6 linked regions of the Callithrix jacchus genome follow. The protein of the gene in region 1 interacts with the protein of each later gene in a pairwise test. Links are inferred from orthologs where the notes say so. Each region holds a gene or a part of one and is shown in the gene's direction. Other genes may lie near its edges.

What was found.
Region 2: the proteins of PSTPIP1 (region 1) and TULP3 interact in binary tests that used the Homo sapiens proteins (3 or more experiments, as listed by UniProt). The two-hybrid records come from large-scale screens. The link is inferred for Callithrix jacchus from reciprocal best matches to the Homo sapiens genes PSTPIP1 and TULP3.
Region 3: the proteins of PSTPIP1 (region 1) and CD2 interact in a two-hybrid assay, tested with the Homo sapiens proteins (2 studies listed by BioGRID and IntAct). The link is inferred for Callithrix jacchus from reciprocal best matches to the Homo sapiens genes PSTPIP1 and CD2.
Region 4: the proteins of PSTPIP1 (region 1) and PTPN12 interact in binary tests that used the Homo sapiens proteins (3 or more experiments, as listed by UniProt). The link is inferred for Callithrix jacchus from reciprocal best matches to the Homo sapiens genes PSTPIP1 and PTPN12.
Region 5: the proteins of PSTPIP1 (region 1) and LSM4 interact in binary tests that used the Homo sapiens proteins (3 or more experiments, as listed by UniProt). The two-hybrid records come from large-scale screens. The link is inferred for Callithrix jacchus from reciprocal best matches to the Homo sapiens genes PSTPIP1 and LSM4.
Region 6: the proteins of PSTPIP1 (region 1) and UBE2W interact in binary tests that used the Homo sapiens proteins (3 or more experiments, as listed by UniProt). The two-hybrid records come from large-scale screens. The link is inferred for Callithrix jacchus from reciprocal best matches to the Homo sapiens genes PSTPIP1 and UBE2W.

The regions. Positions count from the first base shown.
Region 1 is NC_133509.1:23,975,952-23,979,451, reverse strand, and holds part of PSTPIP1 (proline-serine-threonine phosphatase-interacting protein 1), read left to right. Parts: intron 1-2,038; coding exon 2,039-2,073; intron 2,074-2,251; coding exon 2,252-2,358; intron 2,359-2,914; exon of another isoform or gene 2,915-3,023; coding exon of another isoform or gene 3,024-3,077; intron 3,078-3,500. UniProt on the Homo sapiens protein: Involved in regulation of the actin cytoskeleton. May regulate WAS actin-bundling activity. Bridges the interaction between ABL1 and PTPN18 leading to ABL1 dephosphorylation.
Region 2 is NC_133510.1:16,244,966-16,248,465, forward strand, and holds part of TULP3 (tubby-related protein 3), read left to right. Parts: intron 1-1,013; coding exon 1,014-1,173; intron 1,174-2,458; coding exon 2,459-2,599; intron 2,600-3,500. UniProt on the Homo sapiens protein: Negative regulator of the Shh signaling transduction pathway: recruited to primary cilia via association with the IFT complex A (IFT-A) and is required for recruitment of G protein-coupled receptor GPR161 to cilia, a promoter of PKA-dependent basal repression machinery in Shh signaling.
Region 3 is NC_133508.1:154,764,676-154,768,901, forward strand, and holds the start of CD2 (T-cell surface antigen CD2 precursor), read left to right. Parts: upstream 1-1,426; 5' UTR 1,427-1,456; coding exon 1,457-1,517; intron 1,518-1,651; coding exon 1,652-1,972; intron 1,973-4,226. UniProt on the Homo sapiens protein: CD2 interacts with lymphocyte function-associated antigen CD58 (LFA-3) and CD48/BCM1 to mediate adhesion between T-cells and other cell types. CD2 is implicated in the triggering of T-cells, the cytoplasmic domain is implicated in the signaling function.
Region 4 is NC_133512.1:72,500,724-72,504,223, reverse strand, and holds part of PTPN12 (tyrosine-protein phosphatase non-receptor type 12), read left to right. Parts: intron 1-2,660; coding exon 2,661-3,500. UniProt on the Homo sapiens protein: Dephosphorylates a range of proteins, and thereby regulates cellular signaling cascades. Dephosphorylates cellular tyrosine kinases, such as ERBB2 and PTK2B/PYK2, and thereby regulates signaling via ERBB2 and PTK2B/PYK2.
Region 5 is NC_133523.1:17,038,834-17,042,931, reverse strand, and holds the start of LSM4 (U6 snRNA-associated Sm-like protein LSm4), read left to right. Parts: upstream 1-1,298; 5' UTR 1,299-1,360; coding exon 1,361-1,363; intron 1,364-4,098. UniProt on the Homo sapiens protein: Plays a role in pre-mRNA splicing as component of the U4/U6-U5 tri-snRNP complex that is involved in spliceosome assembly, and as component of the precatalytic spliceosome (spliceosome B complex).
Region 6 is NC_133517.1:29,516,969-29,520,468, reverse strand, and holds part of UBE2W (ubiquitin-conjugating enzyme E2 W), read left to right. Parts: intron 1-2,315; coding exon 2,316-2,418; intron 2,419-3,500. UniProt on the Homo sapiens protein: Accepts ubiquitin from the E1 complex and catalyzes its covalent attachment to other proteins.

The DNA.
Region 1 (3,500 bases):
ATGCGTGAGGGCTGGGTGGGGGCACAGGGGACCGCACTGCTCCTGGAGGCTTCTGTGAATGGGAGACACTGAGCCGAGGGGTGCACTGACAGGAAGCAGAGGGATTGCAGGTGTCACGGCTGGTGAGGAGTCAGAGTCCTGAGCCCCACAAGGGAAGGTGGGGTCACCACTCAGCCACCCCCTCTCCTTCCTCTCCCTGGGTTCCGCTTCCTTCCGCAGGGCGGCCACGAGTGCAGCGCATTCATCCCTCTTACCCTTGGCTTCTCATCTGTGAAATGGGATAATAAAGGGCTGGCAGAGTTGTGAGGTCTCGTCTCTCAGGCCAGCAGGTCTCACGTCTGGATGGGCATCGCAGCGCTTGGGGCCGGCCCCCACCCCGAAGCCTCAGCCTCAGAAGGACAGGGAGAAGCCTGAGAATCTGTATTTCTAAGAGGCTCCGCGGATGCTGCTGCTGCTGGCCTGTGGACCTCACTTTGGGATCCACGAGTTTAGGGCGAGGGACCTGGCCCCCACAGATCTCCCCCCAGGCCTGGACCCCCAGGGCTCCTGCCAGGTTGCTGCTCCTCCTTGGCCTCCGCTTCCCCAGGTGTCTATCGAGAGGAGAAGCTCCCTGAGAAGCCTGCCTGGTGCGCTGCCCTCGCCACCCAGGGCTGTCTGGTGGGAGTCATGAGGCCATATGGCCGCCAGGGGGCGGGCGAGCTGCTCCACAGAGAAGCTACGGGGAGAGCCAGATAAAATACTGGATGCCCAGGTGAATGTGAATTCAGATAAACAACGAATTCTTTAAAAACAAAAGTAGGTCTGGCAGTGTGATGCCTCCGGCTTTGTTCTTTTTGCTTAGGATTGTCTTGGCTATACAGACAATGGGGAGTGGGAAGGGATAACATGGGAGAAATGCCAGATATAGTAGGCACCTAAAGTAAAATAAATAAATAAAATAAATAAATAAATAATTTTTAAAAAGAAACCATAAAATGTAAATGTACAAAATGTATTTGATCTATATATACAATATATATGATAAATGGCAGTTACAAGAGGAAAAAAAAAGTAGGTTTTAGGCCGGGTGCAGTGGCTCACACCTGTAATCCCAGCACTTTGGGAGACTGAGGCAGGTGGATCACGAGGTCAGGAGATTGAAACCATCCTGGCCAATATGGTGAAACCCCGTCTCTACTAAAAATACAAAAATTAGCTGGATGTGGTGGCGGGCACCTGTAGTCTCAGCTACTAGGGAGGCTGAGGCAGGAGAATTGCTGGTACCCTCGAGGCAGGGGTTGCAGTGAGCTGAGATGGTGCCACTGCACTCCAGCCTGGTGACAGACTGAGACTCCATTTCAAAAAAATTAAAAAATAAAAATACGATTTAAATACGACAAGGGGCATACTAAACTCGAAAAGTTCTCGTTCATCTGAGATTCGCATTGCACTGGTGTCCTGTGTTTTCTGTGCTCATTCCACAGCCCTCCCCCCCTGCCCATCATTTCCTCCCATGCCCTGTGCTGGGCCTTCCCTCCCTCCCTCCCTCCCTGGCAGACAGTGCCCACCTCTCACCTCCGGTGCCCTGCCCTGCTAACCTCTCCCATGGCCATCCAGCCCCTCCAAACATCCCCTGGGCCACCTGCTGAGAGCCCATCTGAACACTGTCCTCTCCCCTGCAGCCTCACCGTGGGGCCATTCAGTACCTGCAGAGGAGAGAGGGCTGTGACTGTGGGTTCAGGGGAAGGAGGAGGGTCCTAAAGACAGTCCCTTCTTCTCTAAGAATGCAGCCAGGAGCACAGATGGTGGGAGCATGGGCATTGGTACCTCCTTCTTCTACCACATGGAGGGAGTTTGATTGTTTAATTTGCAGAGAGCTTTGCCTTCCAGAAATCACAGTTTGGGGCCCCAGTGGATGGTCACCATCTGGCTAAAGGGTCCCTTGGTTCTAGGGTGACCCAGGGTCTTCCCACCAAAATAAAAGTCCCCCTGGGCCAGCCTGGACTTCAGGTTCCCACTGTGCTCTCCTCCTCCTGACCTGGACCTGTCTGTTTTGCAGCTCCCTGAGGGCCTCCTTTGACTCCTTGAAGCAGCGTAAGTACCCTACCCTGGGGCGATGGGATCTTTAGGGACGTTGAGGCTGGTGGAGGGTTTGGAGGAACAGAAAATGAGGTGTTGGGCTGAGGCTGTGCTGGGCCAGAGGGGTGAGTTGTGGCTGGCTGAGGCCCATCAGGTCTGACACTGGGAACCAGTGTCCATGCTCTGCCCCCAGAAATGGAGAATGTGGGCAGCTCACACATCCAGCTGGCCCTGACCCTGCGCGAGGAGCTGCGGAGTCTCGAGGAGTTCCGGGAGAGGCAGAAGGAGCAGAGGAAGAAGGTGAGGCAGGTGCAGGGGGCAGGGGAGCAATTCCCCCATCACCAGCCTTTCACTTGCTCTGTGGGTGGGGGGGCTGACCCTCCCCGCAGAGCCAGTGGAGGGTGGCAGGGGGGTGGTGGTGGGACAGTATCCCAGGCTTTGGGGCTTGAGGGTGATCTGAAGTGGGTGGGGAGGGCAGAGGCCTGGCTGCTGGCACCAAGGCCAGCTCCCAGTCCCAGGGCCCCATGGAGGGTCCTTCTGGTCAAGCTGCCTCACGCCTAGGAAGATCCTACTACTGCAGACTATGGAGAGTCTGTGGCAACTTGAGGGTGTCCAGACAAGGCAGTCTGAGTTGTGGGGAGATCACTGGAAACTGGCTTGAGTCTAAGGAGCAGGGCTGATTGTCCCGGAGAAAGGCGGACTTGCAGCCAGTCACCCTGCAGGACTGCCCAAGGCGGAGCAGTCAGACACGTGCAGCCAGTCACCCTGCAGGACTGCCCAAGGCGGAGCAGTCAGACACGTGCAGCCAGTCACACTGCAGGACTGCCCAAGGCGGAGCAGTCAGACACGTGCAGCCAGTCACCCTGCAGGACTGCCCAAGGCGGAGGAGTCAGACACAGACTGGGATGGGGGAGTTGTGTGGCATTGCTTAGCATCCGAAGCTACTTCTCACCCATACGTAGGGCATGGCTATCCTGAGACAGAGTGGCTGCATGGAAGTGAGGTCCTCATCATGGGAGGTGTGTAAGCAGAGGCTGGCAGATCCTTGTCAGGGAGGCTGCAGGGCTGGGGTTGGGGATGGGCTCTTTGGAGGGCCGGCAGGATGCAGGCTAGCCTGGAGGCTGGGCTTGGGCCTGTGGGGATGGGGGCTTGGCCTCTCAAGGCCTTAGTGATGAGGGTGGTGCCCGGCATAGGGTGGGAGGGCAGCACACAGACCCACTGCTTGCTTAGAGACGAAGGATCATTGTAAAACTGAAAATGGAAAGTCACAGCTGAGCCTGGAAGGGGAAAAAGCTGTACCTGAGGCTGGGGCCTGGCTGGGCCTGGGTGTCCTGGCCCAGCCACTTCCCATCTCTGTGCCTCAGTTTCCCTCTCACGATGGGACACATATGTCTACCTCCCAAGTCCTGGAAGCTCAGCCCAAGCCATGCGCCCCCTCAGTC
Region 2 (3,500 bases), on another chromosome or scaffold:
TCATGCTTTTTTCCTGACTTTTCTTGCTACCATAGCCTTTATCTTGCTTTTATTTATAGAGTTGACTGCTTTCTATTTGATATGTTCCAACTGCCATTTTTTCTCTTCACCTTTGACCCAAATTTGATTTCTAATTATGCAAGATAAACAAGAATGCCAAATTTACTGCTCTTTGACTGCTTAAAACATGGAAATAATTTGAGTTTTAGAGAATATTTTTTTCTTCCAGTTATAAAAGAAAACTTTGGAAAAAAAAAAAAAACTAGAAAAGAGAAAATGATCATGCCTTAGTCTACCACCTCAAGAAATCACCCTTGCTGTGTTCCTCTGTCTTTCCCCATGTATGTGTGTTTATATGTTTTGAGCTTGGATAACGCTATGATGATTAACATACATCTTCAGTAGACTAGGATCACGGCCTCAGCTTGGTTAGAAATGCATTGTGTGGGGTAGGTGTGGTGGCTCATGCCTGTAATTCCAATACTTTGGGAGGCCAAGGCAGTCAGACTGCTTGAGCCTCAGGAGTTTGAGACCAGCCTGGGCAATATGGGGAAACTGGCCTCCACAAAAAATACTAAAGTTAGCTGGGCATGGTAGCATGCACCTGTAGTCCCAGCTGTTCATATTCAGGAGGCTGAGGTGGAAGGATCGGGTACGCCTTGGAGGTCAAGGCTGCAGTGAGCTCTGATGGTGCCATTGAACTCCAGCCTGGGCAACAGAGTGAGAGTCTTCCAAAAAAAAAAAAAAAAAAAAAAAAAACCAGAAAAAGAAAAAAATGCATTGTACTATTTTAAATAGATCTTTATAGGTGTTAGGTGTTCAAAAGTATTTGTTTAATGAAATAATTGAATCATTACTCTTCTCTGTGCCTCAGTTTTCCCATTTCTTAAGTAAGGAAAAAATAATTTACAAGATGTTTTATGAGGATCAGTGAAAAACAAACTGTAAATGTTGGAAGTGGCTAGGTCTTGTCAAAACTTTCCTGGCTCTCTGTTATATCACTTTTTTCCCAGAGGCTACTACTTGAGAAGAGGCAAAGGAAAAAGCGCCTTGAGCCGTTTATGGTGCAGCCCAATCCGGAAGCCAGGCTACGTCGGGCGAAGCCAAGGACTAATGAGGAGCAGACTCCTTTGGTGAACTGTCATATTCCCCACAGCAATGTCATCTTACATGGTGTGTATTTAGGCAGCATCACTTCCTGCTGGGGTACAATTTTCACAAACCTAGAAGGTAGGAGAATTCTCAGATAGACCAAAGGGATAATATTAGTACCGTTACTGGGTACCTTCTTAAATTTTTATAATCACATTTGGGGTCTTTGAAGAGAATAAAATAAATGATGTAATCAATGGAAGATGCCTTAACGTTTGTGTCCATTTTAGAACTGTTTTCTTTTTTCTGAGACGGAGTTTTGCTTTTTTCTCCTGGTGGAATACAATGGCACGATCTTGGCCCACTGCAGCCTCCTTCTCCCAGATTCAAGTGATTCTCCTGCCTCAACCTCCCACTTCAGCCCCCTGAGTAGCTGGGATTACAGGTGCCCGTCACCACACCTGGCTATTTTTTTAATATTTTTAGTAGAGATTGGGTTTCACCATATTGGCCAGGCTGGTCTCAAACTCCTGACCTCAGGTGATCCACCCACCTTGGCTTCCCAAAGTGCTGGGATTAAAGGCATGAGCCACTGCGCCCAGCCAGAAATGTTGTTTTCTAGATGCCAGATGAATGAGTTTAGAATGACCTATTTGAGGAGCTTTTGATTGTTAAATCATGGCAGAGGTGAATCATGAAACCAGGAATAGGTAGAGAGCATTCATTCTTCCAAGATAGTTCAGAGGACCATCTGAGATGGTGAGGAGGCAGAGGAAGAGTAAGATTATAAGAGCCTTTAAATCGTACCACTTTGTTTTCTTGGTCTTATTCTTAAGTTTCTGAAGTATAGCCTCAGGTACATATTACCTTAGTAACAGAGCATGTTAATGGAATGGACACCAGGCTGGGCATGGTGGCTTAGGCCTGTGATCCCAGCACTTTGGGAGGCTGAAGCAGGCAGATCACTTGAGGCCAGGTGTTTGACACTAAGCTGGGCAACATAACAAGAATCCATTTCTACAGAGAATTTAAAAATTAGCCAGGTGTAGTAGCACACACCTGTAGTCCCAGCTACTCAGGGGGCTGAAGTGGGAGGATTGCTTGAGCCCAGGAAGTCGAGGCTTCAGTGAGCTGTGATTACACCACTGCTCTCCAGCCTGGGTGACAGAGTAAGTTCCTGTCTCAGAAAAAAAGAAGACCAGTTCTGACCTACTGTCTTAAGAAAAGTTCTTATGGATGTTAAGAAAGGAGGGGACATAATATGATTTAGTAGTTTTTAATTCTGATCACATATGCCAAACCTACCCAACTAAATAGTGAATAATACTTTGCTCCTTTTTAAAAATTTATTTCATTTTGGCCCTAGGTATTGATGGTCCAGCTGCTGTCCAGAAACCAGATGGAGTTCATGCTCCATCAGTAAGCTCCCCTGTTCTGGAAGAAGATACTGAAAACACCGTGGCTAGTGTTTCCAAGCCAGGACTTAAGGAGAATCTCCAAAAGCATGGTGAGGACTAGTAATGATTTTAAGGCAATTTTTCTTCTTACTCATTTGTAATCTTTTTCTTTTCTTTCATTATAGTTAACAATCTACATGACTCAAAATTACTCATGGTTTAGGGCCACACATAGGTGACAGTATTAAGCATCTTTTACATCTGAATATTGGTCATTTTCAGCAATGGTAGTATTTATACTATTGCCTGAGAAAAATAAGGTAACTAAATATAAAATGTTAGCTACCATAGATGACTGTTTCTCTCCTTTTAACTATTTTTAGTTCCCACCCTTTTCTGACAGAGTTGTCACTCAACCCCCTCTACTCTGCCTCCACTTCATAGTTTGTGATGATTGACAGCCTTTCTGCTAGTTGGAGCTCTCATTTCCATAAATATTCCCATACATTTCAAAGATCCCTTGTAGTCTGCTTTCCTTTTTAAAAAAATAATTTTATAATGAGAAGGGGTCAAGCATCCCCTTTTCAGAAGAGAAAACTGAAGCTTAATAATGAATAAATATCCATTGGGTACCTACTTTGCATTAGGCAAACATTGCTAGGTCCTGGGATATATAAATCAGGAGAACCTAGCATGGAATGGTAGAATAGATGAACGTTTAAACAACTTCATATATTCACTTATTTAGAAATTATGTTTTGCCTGGGTGTAGTGTCTCATGCCTGTAATCCAACACTTTGAGAGGCTGAGGTGGGTGGATCACCTGAAGGTCAGGAGTTCAAGACCAACCTGGCCAACATGATGAAACCCTCTCTCCTAAAAATAGAAAAAGATTAGTCAGTTGTGGTGGTGGGTACCTGTAATCCCAGCTACTTGGGAGGCTGAGGCGGGAGAATCACTTGAACCCAGGAGGTGGAGGTGGCAGTGAGCCAAGATTGCACCATTGCACTC
Region 3 (4,226 bases), on another chromosome or scaffold:
TGGAATGCAATGGCACGATCTCGGCTCACTGCAACCTCTGCCTCCTGGGTTCAAGCAATTCTCCTGCCTCAGCCTCCTGAGTAGCTGGGATTACAGGTGCCCACCACCACACCCAGCTAATTTTTGTATTTTTAGTAGAGATGGGGTTTCGCCATGTTGGCCAGGCTGATCTTGAACTCCTGACCTCAGGTGATCCTCCCGCCTCGGCCTCCTAAAGTGTTGAGATTTCAGACACCGCTCCCAGCCACCATTTAGCATTATTATAATATTTTTGCATTTAAAATTGTAATCCAACTGTAATGCATTATTGTGGATGATGCTCACACAACCATGAGATAAATATTTGGGCTTCCTTTTACCCAGTAATAGCAAACAACTGCTTTCCTCGGCAACTTTCTAACAGATAATATCCATTTGTACTTAGAGTTGAAAAGGAAAACAAGCACCACTTTTACAATTGTTACTCACTGTGAGCTAAAGAATTGCAGCTGAAACTGTGCTTTGGAAGTCGGTCAAGTTACACCTCTTTTCCGTGACTTGCTCTCCCTAGACGTCTTCTCAGGCCACATCGATCTCTGCGCCACTGTCTCTTTCCTTGTTTGACACATTTCTCCTCTCTGTTCCTGTCCCTGTTCCCTCTCACTTCCCTTTTTTCTCCTAATCTCTCTTTTTTCTTAACCGTCTATCATGCTAATCGCTTTAAATGCTTTTGACTCGTTTGTTCTGGTGGATTAATTATATTTCATAGTGTTTACGCTTCTTTGTTTTGGAACAAGTTTTTATTTACCTGTCAATTTCACCACAGTTGTAAAACGTATGCCAACGTATGCCAACGTATAGGATTTGGGGATTGCAAGCATTTACAGCTGATGCTCAATTTCCTTTTTTTTTTTAATCACAAAAATGATTTTAGAACATGAAAAATATCTTTGGAGAAACAGAAAAAAATCAATTTCTAATCATTCTATGGGTATACATTTTTCAGTATTTATAATCATCTAGGATAAATATTTGCCTTCTGCTACTGGCTTTGAACATTTACCTATATTTCTATGTGGTGTTTTAGAGTCCGTAGACCTAAGTGGATAAAAGACTGTGTGGCTGAATTTGGCCTCTTGCTTCCAAAAGAGTGATCCCGAATGATCTACATAGTCTCTCTGCTCCTTTTCTCTTTCATTGGGATGAGAAAACTCTTCCTTCCCAATTTTTTGTGTGGAGATCAAAATGTGGTAAGAAAACACACACTCATAAACACATCTGCTTAGGCAAAGGAGCACATCAGAAGGGCTGGCTTGTGGCTCTCTCTCTCTCTGTGTATGTGTACATGTTTTATGTTACTGTAAAACGTGTAAAGAGAGGCACGTGGTTAAGTTGTCGGGGTGCGGACTTCACCAGTCTCACTTTAGTTCCTTTTGCATGAAGAGCTCAGAATCCAAAGAGGGAACTAGCTCCTAAGATGAGCCTTCCATGTAAAATTGTAGCCAGCTTCCTTCTGATTTTCAACGTTTCTTCCAAAGGTAAGTTGGTGCGTGGATCTCCATCGTCACTGTTAGAACTTCTTCAGAGATCCTGAAGTAAGCTTAAGAGTCAAAGAAGTCCCAACGTAGCTTTTTCTGGAAGTGAGTCTCAGTAATTCTTTTGCTTTTTACAGGTTTACTCTCCAAAGATGTTAGGAATGCCTTGGAAGTCTGGGGTGCTTTGGGTCAAGACATCCACTTGGACATTCCTGATTTTCAAATGAGTGCGGATATTGACGATATAAAATGGGAAAAAGGTTCAGACAAGAAGAAGATTGCACAATTCAGAAAAGGGAAGTCGACTTTTGAGGAAAAAGATGCGTATAAGCTATTAGAAAGTGGGACTCTGAAAATCAAGCATCTGAAGATGGATGATCAGAATACCTACACGGTATCGATATACGATGCAGAAGGAAAAAGTGTGTTGGAAAAAACGTTTGATTTGAAGATTCTAGGTAAGTGTTCATTCCTCAGATTGCTTTATTTCAGTATGAGTGCTATTTGGCAAGTTGGAAAATAGCACTTATACTATTCCCCAGCGCTGACCTCTGCCTCCAGGGGGGCTGTACAGGAAATCAGACGCACGTGTCCTGCCACCACGGTCCAGTGTGGGAACGGGATCCACACACCTGATAGACGCTCAAGGCTACCTGCCTACAACCCTCTCTTCAGGTGGTTACAGGAAGGTGGGGCTGGGTGAAGAACCTGGATTAACGTGGCATTAATCAGGAGGGGGACAGGTGAACAGAGGGAAAAGGCAACTGTTCTAGTGGCTGACGACGGGGTGGGGAGAAGAGGCTGACGGGAGAGCAGCGGGCCTTTCATCAAGAGAGCTCGTTTCAAGCCAGGGTGCCCTGAAGGAGGAGTTACATGGCAGAAAAAGGCTGGAAACAACATATTTAAGGATCAACAGCCCTTGTTTTGGATCTGCTTGTCAGAGTGATCCAAGGTGGTAGGTGTTTTTTGCTGCTATGTGTAGAAGACGCACAAGGTGTGGCTTGGTATGTCGCTGCGTGTACTGGGCGGGCAGGAGTGGGTATTGAGGATGGGGTTAGGGAGACTAGCCAGAAAGCTGCTGCTGGAATCCGAGTGGAGTGAAGACCAATTAAATCTGAATTTTTTGGCTTAGGGCCAAAAATTTTTTTGGTTTCAATAAGTTCTAAAGCTCCCTGGGGGATTCTAATGAGCAGCAGCCAAAGTTAATCACCACTGGCCTAGACCAAAGGGCGCCGGTCCATAGGAAGAATGTAGATAAAAAGGGTCAGGCTTAGAGAAAGGATGGACAGGTGGCTTGGGCAAGGGAGAGAAGGAAGAGAAAGTGGAATCGAAATGCCACTCAGCTTGAAAGCCCAGGGGACGCTGAGCAGGCAGTGATCATTTTCGCATGTTTAATAGAGACGGGCTTCACCATGTTGGCCAGGCTAGTCTCGAACCCTTGGCCTCAAGTGATCAGCCTACCTCAGCCTCCCAAAGCGCTGAGATTACAGGCATGAGCCACCTGAACCCGCTGAAATATTATATTATTTATATATGTACATATAAGTAGAAAATATCTGACAAAGATATACATCAAAATATTAGTCATTGTTGACTATGAGTAGTGGCATTGGGGGTAATTTTTAATCTGATTTAAACTTTTAAAAATATTTTATCAACTTGTACAATGACCGAAGTTGAAAACCCACAGACGCTGGGCAGGGAGTGATAAGAGAGGAAAAGAGGAAGCTGCCCTTGGCTGGGGGAGAAAGACATGAACCCCAGCATGAGCATAGGCCAGCCAGTCGGTGAGCAAAGAAGCATTTCTCTGTCTCACACAGAAAATGTTTCCAGAAGCAGGGCCCCTCCTCCTTCCTCTCTCTCTCTCCAGCCCCATCTTCAGCTCCTGGGCCTACCAGCAATCCCAGATATTGTCAGATGACCCACTCCAGCAATCCCAGATATTGTCAGATGACCCACTCCAACAATCCCAGATAGACACTGTCAGCCCTGCTGCAGTCACAACTTTCCACACCCTAGTCCTGCAACCTTGAATGGAGAGCACCTTGTAGAAATGTAGTGTGCTTGAGCATGGCGCTGAAAGGGGCCTCTGATTCTCTGGAAACCATAGATCTCAGGACTCCAAACAGCACAAGTTGTGTGTCCTGTTTGGAGTGTGAGCCCTACAGGGGGACCCTGCTGGTGCTTTCACATTTGGGTCCCCTAGCACTGCGGTGGAAATAACGGCTACCAGCTAGGGGTCAGGTGCTTGCTTACATGGTCTTATTTGAAGCTCCCAACAATACTGAGACGTACTTGTTATGATCTTCTCGTTATGGATAAGAAAACAGAGACCTAGTGAGAAGCAGCTTGTCCAAGGTCTCATTGCTTGACAGGGGCAAAGTCAGGATTCAAACTCAGAGGGCTTCTTGGCAAGGACGGTGACCTTTTCTTTTTATCCGAACGGCTTCATTGAGATAATCCACATACTGTCCAGTTTGTCCATGTACTAAAAGGCCTTTAGTATACTCAGAGTCTTGCAGTCATCACCAAAATGGACATGTTCATTGCTTCAAAAAGAAACCCTTCACCCTTTAGCTGAAAGACGGCGATTTCCCGTTGTGCGTGTGCACGCCAGTGTCATGCGATGTCTTGATTCAGCTTGTAGCTGGTCACCATTACCAGACTTAAGGTCACCATGGCCTTGGGAAAATTCCCTGTCTGCTCTGAGTC
Region 4 (3,500 bases), on another chromosome or scaffold:
AGAGGTTGCAGTGACCCAAGATCACACCACTGCACTGCAGCCTGAGTGACAGAGTAAGACTCTGAATCAATAAAAATAATAAAATACTGATTGTTGACAAGTGGTCTCATGTACATGTAGGAGAAATAATAAACCTCAATTTATATCAAAATTTTATTTTGTCCTTTTAAAACTCATATTTCCTATTTGTATTATGTGTTCTTAGGATAACCTATTGATCTTTGTGTATGCTTTGTAAACTGTAGGAGGTGTCTGCAATTATTTTTTGTTTTAGATCACAAAAACTCGATGGCTACTCTTTTAAGATTCAGAACCTGCTTTTATAGGCCAGGTACAGTGGCTTATACCTGCAGTCTCAGCTCTTTGGAAGGATATGGCAGGTGGATTGCTTGAGTTTAAGAGTTTGAGACCAGCCTGGTCAACATGAACATGGCGAAAACACATGTCTACAAAAAATACAAAACTTAGCCAGGTGTGGTGGTGCACACCTGTAGTCCCAAGCTACTTAGGAGGCTAAACTGGGAGGATGGCTTGAGCCCTGGAGGCAGAGGTTGCAGTGAGCCAAGATTGTTGCTACTGTATTTTAGCCCGGATAGCAGAGCCAGGACCCTGTCTCAAAAAAAAAAAAGAATCTGCTTGTAAAACTTAAACAGATATAGGAACATTTTATGGGAGTATTGCTGTTGTTTTAATATGACCAGTATTCTGGAGATACTCATTTAACTTCCCATGTCCTATTCTAGGAGTGTGTCTAGAGAATCTGAACTTCAGAGTCTCTTTTAAGGGGAAACCTGGTGTACCATGTGATTACTACCAATTCTGTTTGGATAATAAAAAGGTTGATCACCTTGAAGAAAAAAAAGCAAAAACTCTGATGTGGGGCCCAGTGACTCACTCCTGTAATCCCAGCACTTTGGGAGGGGAAGGCAGGAAGACCACTTGAGGCCAGGAGTTCAAGACCAGCCTGTCCAACATTGCAAAACCCTGTCTCTACTAAAAATACAAAAATTAGCCAGGCATGGTGGCATGTGCCTGTAGTCCCAGTTACTCAGGAGGCTCAGTCATGAGAATTGCTTGAACCCAGGAGGTGGAGGTTGCAATGAGCTGAGATGGTGCCACTGCACTCCAGCCTGGGCACCAGAACGAGACTGTATCTAAAAAAGAAAAAGAAAATCAAAATAACTCAGATATACAAGCCCTTAAGAAGTTTGCTTCATATAAAGTTCTTAAAAAGCCGCAAAGCCTGGGCAACATAGTAAACCCTATCTTTCTTTTTCTTTTAGACAGGATCTCATTCTGTCACCCAGGCTGGAGTACAGTTGTATGATCACAGCTCACTGCAGCCTCGACCCCCCTGCCCCCAGGCTCAGGTGATCCTCCCACTTCCACATGCACTGCCACACCCGGCTAATTTTTTTGTATTTGTTGAAGGCACAAGGTTTTGCTATATTGCCCAGGCTGGTCTTGAACCCCCAGGCTCAAGCAATCCACCTGCCTTGGCCTCCCAAAGTGGTAGGATTTATAGACGTAAGCCACTGTGCCCAGCCCCCATCTTTTTTTTTTTTTTTTTTTTTTTGAGACAGTGTCTCTTTGTTGCCCAGGCTGGAATGCAGTGGTGCCATCTCAGCTCATTGCCATTTCCACCTCCCAGGCTCAAGTAGTTCTCCTGCCTCAGCCTCCTGAGTAACTGGGACTACAGGCATGCTCCACCTCACCTGGCTAATTTTTGTATTATTAGTAGAGATGGGGTTTTACCATCTCTACTAATGGTAAGTTCAAGACTGGTCTTGAACTCCTGAGCGAAAGCAATCTGCCCACCTTGGCCTCCCAAAGTGCTGGGACTACAGGCGTGAGCCATGACACCTGGCCCTATCTCTTTAAGGAAAAAAATAAAGGCAACCAGAGGATATAACCCACCCAAACAAAGGAATATACCCAGAAAGAGGAAGATGTGACCTGGGGAAACAGGAGAATCTGAAACCAGGGAGAACATTAGCACTATGGTGGACTAGGGAACCAGTGGTTCACACTGGAGCAGGAGGCCAAAGGTTACTAAGAGGGATGTCTGTGGTATTGTTAGTTACCAGGTGTGCTTGTTACTATTGAGAAGAGGTATACCAGTCTGCAGGAAAGTTACAAGAAAAGCCGAGTAACTGAAGGTGGATAGAGAGCTACGCCATCAGAAACCCAAGGCAGTCATTAGGGGAAAACAAGACATGATAGAAGAAAAGACATAAAATCATGGCAACAAAAAATTACATTATGACAGTATTAGAAAGATGGAAAAGAAGGACGTTTCACAGTAGCAAGTCAATAGAAAATGTGTGAAATAAAGATTAAGAAATAACTTTTGAAATAGTCTGAAATACAGAGGTAAATTTTAGAAGCAACTGTAAAAAGTTGAAAGTGGATGTCTCTGGCTAACTGGGGGGCTTTGGGGTGTGGAGGGAATATGATTTTTATTAAAAGTCTTATATTTGACTTTTTATATGGTATATGTGTGTTACCTTGTTGAACATTAAATTTTCTTAGTCTGAAAAATGACAATTTATATTAATAACCAGATTCTAATAGCTCTTAATATACTAGTCTTAGCTACATAATTCTCATGTATCAACGTGTTTAACAGTCTTAAAATGCTCTTTTTAAATGTTTTTCAGTTGCCTTGTTGAAGGGGATGCTAAAGAAGAAATATTGCAGCCACCAGAACCTCATCCGGTGCCACCCATCTTGACACCTTCTCCCCCTTCAGCTTTCCCAACAGTCACTACTGTGTGGCAGGATAATGATAGATACCATCCAAAGCCAGTGTTGCATATGGTTTCATCAGAACAACATTCAGCAGACCTCAACAGGAACTATAATAAATCAACAGACCTTCCAGGGAAAAATGAATCAACAATCGAACAAATAGATAAAAAATTGGAACGAAATTTAAGTTTTGAGATTAAGAAGGTCCCTCTCCAAGAGGGACCAAAAAGTTTTGATGGGAACACTCTTTTGAATAGGGGGCATGCAATTAAAATTAAATCTGCTTCACCTTGTATAACTGATAAAATCTCTAAACAACAGGAATTAAGTTCAGATCTAAATGTCGATGATATTTCTCAGAATTCTTGTATGGACTGCAGTGCAACACAATCAAACAAAGTTCCAGTTACTCCACCAGAAGAATCACAGAATTCAGACACACCTCCAAGGCCAGATTGCTTGCCTCTTGATGAAAAAGGACATGCAACGTGGTCATTTCATGGACCTAAAAATGCCATACCCATACCTGATTTATCTGAAGGCAATTCCTCAGATATCTGCTATCAAACTATGAAAACTGTGAGTTTAACACCAAGTCCTACAACACGAGTTGAAACCCATGATCTTGTGGATCATAACACTTCACCTCTCTTCAGAACACCCCTCAGTTTTACTAATCCACTTCACTCTGATGACTCAGACTCAGATGAAAGAAACTCTGATGGTGCTGTGACCCAGAATAAAACTAA
Region 5 (4,098 bases), on another chromosome or scaffold:
GAGGCACAGGACACACAGAGCCTCCGGAGCGAGCCAGCTCCACTGACAGCCTCAGTTCAGAATCTGGTCTCCTGAACTGTGAGAAAATCACGTTCTGTTGTTTTAAACCTCTCAGTTTGCAGGCGTTTGTTACAGCCCCAGGAAACAACAGCATTTGCCTATTTACTTTGTTTACTGTCTCCCTGAGAGCCACGAATTTTGTGTTTTGTTCATTTCTGTGAGCAGAAGCAGGCACAAAGTATATTGTTAAGTACTTAATATGCGCCAGACCTGTTTTTGTTTGTTTTGAGACAGAGTTTCGCTAGTTGCTCAGGCTGGAGTACAATGGCGTGATCCTTTGCCTCCTGGGTTCAGGCTGGAGTACAATGGCGTGATCCTTTGCCTCCTGGGTTCAAGCGATTCTGGGATTACACCACTGCCGGCTAATTTTATTTTTTTGTTTTTTGTTTTTTTTGAGACGGAGTTTCGCTCTTGTTACCCAGGCTGGAGTGCAATGGCCGATCTCGGCTCACGGCAACCTCCGTCTCCTGGGTTCAGGCAATTCTCCTGCCTCAGCCTCCCAAGTAGTTGAGATTACAGGCACGCGCCACCATGCCCAGCTAATTTTTTTTGTATTTTCAGTAGAGACGGGGTTTCACCTTGTTGACCAGGATGGTCTCGATCTCTTGACCTCGTGATCCACCCGCCTCGGTCTCCCAAAGTGCTGGGATTACAGGCGTGAGCCATCGCGCCCGATCGCCAGGCGCTGTTTTAAGTGCTTTTTACATAGTTTCACTCATTTCATCCTCACAGCAAGCAACCTTTTGGAGCAGACACTACTATTATAACCCATTTTACAGCAAACTGAGGCTCCGAGGGGCGTGGTCAGGATTCCAACCCACTAAATGATGTTCCTGGATAATTACAGAATTAGAAAACTAGGAGTCCGAAGGGCGACCTGAGGGACGTCCCAATCACCACGAGACCTCGCTGTCTCTAAGACTGCAAACGAAAGGCATTAACTGGCTTTGCCCACAGCGTGGAGCCCGAGACCGACGGCTTCACCTGCGCATGCGCTTACCCACAAAACACCCCGCGCCTGGGCGCGTTGCTCCGCCCCCTTTTGCATTACAAGTCGCGACACTTTACGGCTCTATTCCTCGTTCCTCCGGCGGGAACGCGGCCCGCCCGCCCCTTTCGCCCAGAGGGCCCCGCCGTGTTCCGCGTGGATTGGTTGGCCGCCCTTCGAGCCCAGTGCTGACTGGCTCGCGTGTCTGCCACTTTCTTTCAGCCTAGTGGCGCGCGGCGCTGCGACGACCGCCGGGAGCGTGTGCAGCGGCGGTGGCGGAAGTGGCCGGCGAGCCCGGTCCCCGCCGGCACCATGGTGAGGGCAGGGCAACGGCGGGGTCTCATCGGGAGGCGGGAGCCGCAGGCGTTGGGAGCCCTCCGGGCGGGCGCTGACGGTTGGGTTGGCGCGGGGTGAACGTAGAGTCAGAGCCTCGCGTTCCGTCTCCCGGCACGAGGCTGGGAAACTGAGGCTGGAGACTGCAGATGGCTCTAGGACGTCTGTGTCTGAGATTTAGGGTTGCACGGGCTTGTATCCGTAGTACAGCGGGCTCGCTTTACTTAGTTTTTCCCATTTTTTCCCCTCAGGTGGGGAAACTGAGGTCAAAAAAGGTGGGGGCCCGCCAAATGCAAGTTTTTGGGCAGGGAAGGGGCCCCGAACGCTTCGGGCCCGGTCAGACCTCCCAGATTGAAAATTAGAGTGCTGGGAAGTAGGGGGCCAGTCTGAGTTGTGAAACTTAGCTTTAGGAATTTCAGAGCTTGCAAGATGCATAAAATGCTCGCAGCACAGCGTCCTAGGCCTGTTGTTTTCTGTCTGAAAATCGGGCCTGGTGCTGGGGTGTGGTCTTTCTCCTTGGGTCACATAGCATGTCATTCCAGGGGAAGGGGGCATTTTGAGCAGGAGTGGATAAAGTGCATCCTCCCAATACACAGAAGGAAAAACTGAGGCCCAGGTCTCTGCAGGGCCAGATGTTTGTGATTATGGAAGTTCTGGATCTGGGCCAGAAAGTGCCCGTGTCCTCAATGTGCAGATCGGAAAACGAAGTCGGAGCTGGGAATTTCCTGGCCCATCAGCATCTGGCGCTTCTTTTTTCAGGGAGAGAAATCTAGGCCTTTGTTGGGGATGTGACTTCCAGACTCTGTGAGACAGTGGGAGATTTAGTAACCAGGAGGGACCCACAGGGGTGGCTGCATCAGAGCTGAGGATTAGTAAGAGATGCTCCCTAAATCCTGGGGTCAGTGTGTAACCACCCAGTGGGTTCACTTAGCCTGCTTCCTAGACAGAGCCGATTTATCAAGACAGGGGAATTGCAATGGAGAAAGCAATTCACACAGAGCCAGCTCTGCAGGAGACTGGAGTTTCACTCTTGTTGCCCAGGCTGGAGTGCAGTGGCACAATCTTGGCTCACTGCAACCTCTGCCTCCCGAGTTCAAGCTTTTCTCCTGCCTCAGCCTCCTGAGTAGCTGGGATTACAGGCGTCAACCACACCATGTCCGACCAATTTTTTTGTATTTTTAGTAGAGACAGGGTTTCACCATGTTGGCCAGGCTGGTCTGGAACTCCTGAACTCAGGTGATCCACCCACCTCAGCCTCCTGAAAGTTCTGGGATTACAGGGTGAGCCACTGTACCCAGCCTAGGGGATCCGAGTTTTTAAGATGATTTGGTCGGTAGGGGCTCAGGAAGTGGGGGGTGCTGATTGGCTGGAGCTTCCTGAGGTTGGAGATGGAGTCCTGAGGAGGTCGAAGTGAGATTTTCTTGCTGTCTTCTGTTCCTGGGTGGGATTCTGTCCGTGGGTGGGATTGCGGGACTGGTTGAGCCACATTACTCGTCTGGGTGGTGTCAGCGGATCCACCTAGTACAGGGTCTGCAAAAATATCTCAAGCACTGATCTTAGATTTTTATAATAGTGATGTTATCCCCAGGAGCAATTTGGGGAGGTTCAGACTCTTGAGCCAGAGGCTTCGTGACCCCTAAACGATAATTTCTAATCTTGCAGCTTGTCAGTCCTCCAAAGGCTGACTGGTCCCCAGGTAAGAAGAGGGTGTTTTCTGGAAAAAGCTATTACCAATCTTGTCTCAGAGTCAAACTATAGACTGAATTTCTTCCCAAGGTTAGTTCGGCCTATGCCCAGGAAAGAGCAAGGACAGCTTAAAGGTTACAAGCAAGATGGAGTTGCTTAGGTCTGATCTCTTTTTGCTGTCATAATTTCCTCAGGTACAGTTGTTGCGAAGGCGGTTTCAAGTGCAACAATTCAGAGAAGGGAGCCGGCCCCTCCTGCTGTGTCCCCGAGGGCAGAGTTGGAAGGGTCCATCCTGTGACAAGTTTTATGGAAGCAGGATCTTCATTTTTCTTCCCTCTATTATTCCCACTGTGTAGAACGGTGCGTGGGCAAAGTTAGAACTCATTCATTCAGCCCGTCCCCACCTTCTGAACATCCAGAGTCCCCAAGTCCTGGCTATCCAGGCGTTTCCTGGAGGAGTGGCCAAGAATGGACGAGGCGGGCCAGGTGGAGTGGCTCATGCCTGTAATCCTAGCACTTTGGGATGCCGAGGTGGGTGGATCACCTGAGGTCGGCCAACATGGAGACACCCCGTCTCTACTAAAAATACAAAATTAGCCTGGAGTGGTGGGATTACATGCTTGTAATCCCAGCTACTTGGGAGACTGAGGTAGGAGAATCACTTAAACCCAGGAGGTGGAGGTTGCAGTGAGCCTAGATTGTGCCACTGCACTCCAGCCTGGGCAACAAGAGTGAAACTCCGTCTCAGGGGAAAACAAAAAGAATGGACAAGGCCTCATGGGATACACACTTCCAGTTCCCTGTGGTCAGGGTAGGACTAGGAGTGACCTGGGTTAGCAGCCGGGGAGGGCAGTCCTGGAAAGCTTCTGGAATTAGGAGCCACTGGATTTAGTCCTCATGGGTCTAAACCTGAGAACCAGACTCCAGGTGTTCCAAGAAAGCGCAGAGAAAGGAATTCTCTTTTCTGAATTTTCTTGTGATCTTCCCTGAGCCAGGTGATGGGGCCGCTCCCATCACACTTGGCACTTTTT
Region 6 (3,500 bases), on another chromosome or scaffold:
AGGTGACAGAATAAGACCCTGTCTCAAAAAAAAGTTATTATAAAGTACCTGAAACTCTTGGAAGTTATGCTGTCTTTGACCTGTCATACAGATACTACAAGGATTGATGAGATACTTGCTTAGCTCTTATTTAAAAGCTGTGCTTGTTAGTATAGGTCATATGTAAATTTACGTTGAGTGTCCTAAAATTACCATTTAAACAGAATGAAAGACCACCATTTTTCTTGGGAATATCACTCTGCCTAGTGGATGTGGGTGGAAAAATCAAAAAGGAATTTAAAAGACTATGAAGGACCTAATATATAAAGGGGGAGTTTCTTTGGGCCTGGCATGGTGGCTCATGCCTGTAATCCCAGCACTTTGGGAGGCCGAGGCAGGCAGATCAAGAGGTCAGGAGTTGGAGACTAGCCTAAGGAACCTGGCAAAATCCTGTCTCTACTAAAAATAGAAAAATTAGGTGGGCGTGGTAGTGCACGCCTGTAATCTCAGCTACTTGGGAGGCTGAAGAAGGAGTATTGCTTGAGCCCAGGAGGCAGAGGTTGCAGTGAGTCCAGATCACACCATTGCACTCCATACTGGGCAATAGAGTGAGACTCTGTCTCAAAAAAAAAAAAAAAAAAAAAGAGAGAGAGAGATATAGTTTTTTGTTCTGTATGCAGCTTTTGTCGTGTATTTAATTTACCATGCATTGGCTCAGAGTCAGGAATGTGCTAGGGTTTTTACATATGTAGGGTTATTTATCCAGCAACACTATGACGTAATTATATTCTGTTTTATTATTGAGGTAGTTAAAATTGGAGAGGCCTTACACAACTAGTTAAGATTAACTATAATTGCCACTTCAGTATAACTTAAGTTATAACTGTCTAATTTCACTATAAAATATTGTCTCTCGGGTCTGTGGTCATATCTTTCATTACCATGTATGGTACTCAGCATGCATTCTAAAAATGAATAGCTATGCTCTTAAGAGTCTGTATACTGTAGCTGATTTCTTTTAGAGAATAGGCGTATTTATCATTTTACATATTCCTAAGTTCATGGTATACATGGTGATGACTAGAATCCCAGCACTGTGTTTTCTGTCTTCATTTTGTTTTCTTGTGTTTTAAAATACAAGAAAGTTTTAATACCTGAAAAGTTCAAGAGAATTGGCTAGGTGTACAATAATTGTAAGTGACAGAGCTATAAATAGGAACTCATTGTTAATGACTTCAGTTCACTTTTGCTTCGAATGCTGCCCTGTTACCTTTTTTTTTTTATTTTTTGAAACGGAGTCTTGCTCTGTTGCCCAGGCTGGAGTGTAGTGGTATAATCTTGGCTCCCGCCTCCCGGGTTCAAGTGATTGTCCTGTCTCAGCCTCCTCAGTAGCTGGGAATACAGGTGCACACTACCATGCCCAGCTAATTTTTGTGTTTTTTTTTTAGTAGAGATGGGGTTTCATGTTAGCCAGGATGGTCTCGATCTCCTGACCTCATGATCCATCCACCTCAGCCTCCCAAAGTCCTGGAATTACAGACTTGAGCCACTGTGCTTGGCTGCTGCCCCGTTATCTTTGCTTGTCATTTTCCCTTATTCTTCCCCCATCTTAAAATAGCAAGAAATAGTATATAGACTAAAAATAAAAACACATTTATATATATGATTGTTACATGTGAAAATAAAGTAGGCTTGCATAGATGCCATAGAAATCTATTCTGGGCTTTATTAAACAATTGAAACATAGTATGAGATAAAGGAAAGGCACTACAAAGCTTTGCTTAACTCTCAGAGTAAGTGGACTGATGTCAGTTTAGTTCCCCTTTCCTTGTTAATCTTCTGTAGAATGCTGACGAGAAAAATAAGTCTGACAGCTACAGTTCTTTGTAGTCATTGTCTATACGTACTTCTCCATGGCTTCCACCAGTAATAATCAGAAAAGCAGTTGATTAGTTTGATATTATATATAAAATACATAATATTAGCATTGTAGAAATGATATTTTGGAAAAATGAGGTAGTATAAATCAAGTAGGAAGACCACAGGCTTTGGTGTTGGCACACCTAAGTTTGAGTTTTTATTTTGTTTTTTTAGACCTGGCTCTGTCTTGCTGGCTGTCTCACCTTGATCTGGTTATTTAACCCCTGAGTGTCAGAGAAAGGGATATGTCATGAGTATTAACACTCAGAGTTATTGTGAGGCTAGCATGTGCTGTTATGGATAAACAACTCTTGTCCCAGTGCTTAGTATATAGGAAGTAGTTGGTGTTCTCTTTTCTCCTCCTTACCCCAGTCTCTATTATCTTAAGTTTTTAATTTGCCTTTCCTCTATTCTAGGTGGATTGTAGACATGGAAGGTGCACCAGGTACCTTATATGAAGGGGAAAAGTTTCAACTTCTATTTAAATTTAGTAGTCGATATCCTTTTGACTCTCCTCAGGTAATTGCCTTGCTTTAAAATTTTTTTTTTTAGATAGCTAAATGCCAGTGATGTCTGACTAAGTAAAAACATATAAATCAATTATATGTATGTAGACGGATTTGCTGTTTCAATATCTTATTTGTAATATAAGCAAGATATTATGAACATTACACTTCATTGGGATTAGGGCTTTACTGCATTTGTGCTTCTAAAATTATTCTGTTTGTTTCTTATCCATAAATGCTAGCAGAAAAGGGAATAGAAATCTAACCAGGCCTCTAGGCCGGGGGTCCCCCCAACCTCCATGCTTCAGACTGGTTCTGGTCCACGGCCTGTTAGGAGTCGGGCCACACGGCAGGAAGTGAGCAGCATTACTGCCTGAGCTTTGCCTCCTGTCAGATCAACAGTGGTGTTAAATTCTCATAGGAGTACAGGCGTTACTGTGAACTACAGAAGTGAGGGATCTAGGTAGTGTGCTCCTTATGAAAATCTAATGCCTGATCTGAGATGGAACAGTTTAATCCAAAACCATCATCCAACACCCCACTCCATCCATGGAAAAATTGTCTTCCACCAGACTGGTCCCTTGTGCCAACAATATTGGGGACAACTGCTCTAGGATATGGGACAAGTTGGCATTTTGGAATAACTGGAGGCACTTCCTGTTGGTCAGATAATAGAATCAATCACATGGTGAAGAGAAAAGTTTTCTTTGGAAGTAGTACTTTGATTTTGCATTGACTTGCTGTCTTTGCAGCCTCTTAGTACTGGAAGGGCAGAGTACATCACCAGATGTTAAATATCTAAACATCGACCCAAAGTCTGATTATGATAATTTTTATGCCCAGTCAGTTTAGTTAATAGCTTAATACTTAGACAAGGGATAATGGTGGTAGAGGAATGTTTTTGAGAGCTATTTAAATATGGTAAATGATTAATCAGAGGTTAGAGAAAGGAAGACTTTAGGATGACTTGCAGATTTCTGGCTTTGTAAGATAGGTGACTGAGTTACTATAATTACTTATTCTTCAGAGAATTATTATAACAAAGCACTTCATTTTTAAACTTTGAGGCTTTTGATATCTGTTGGCTAAAGTGGT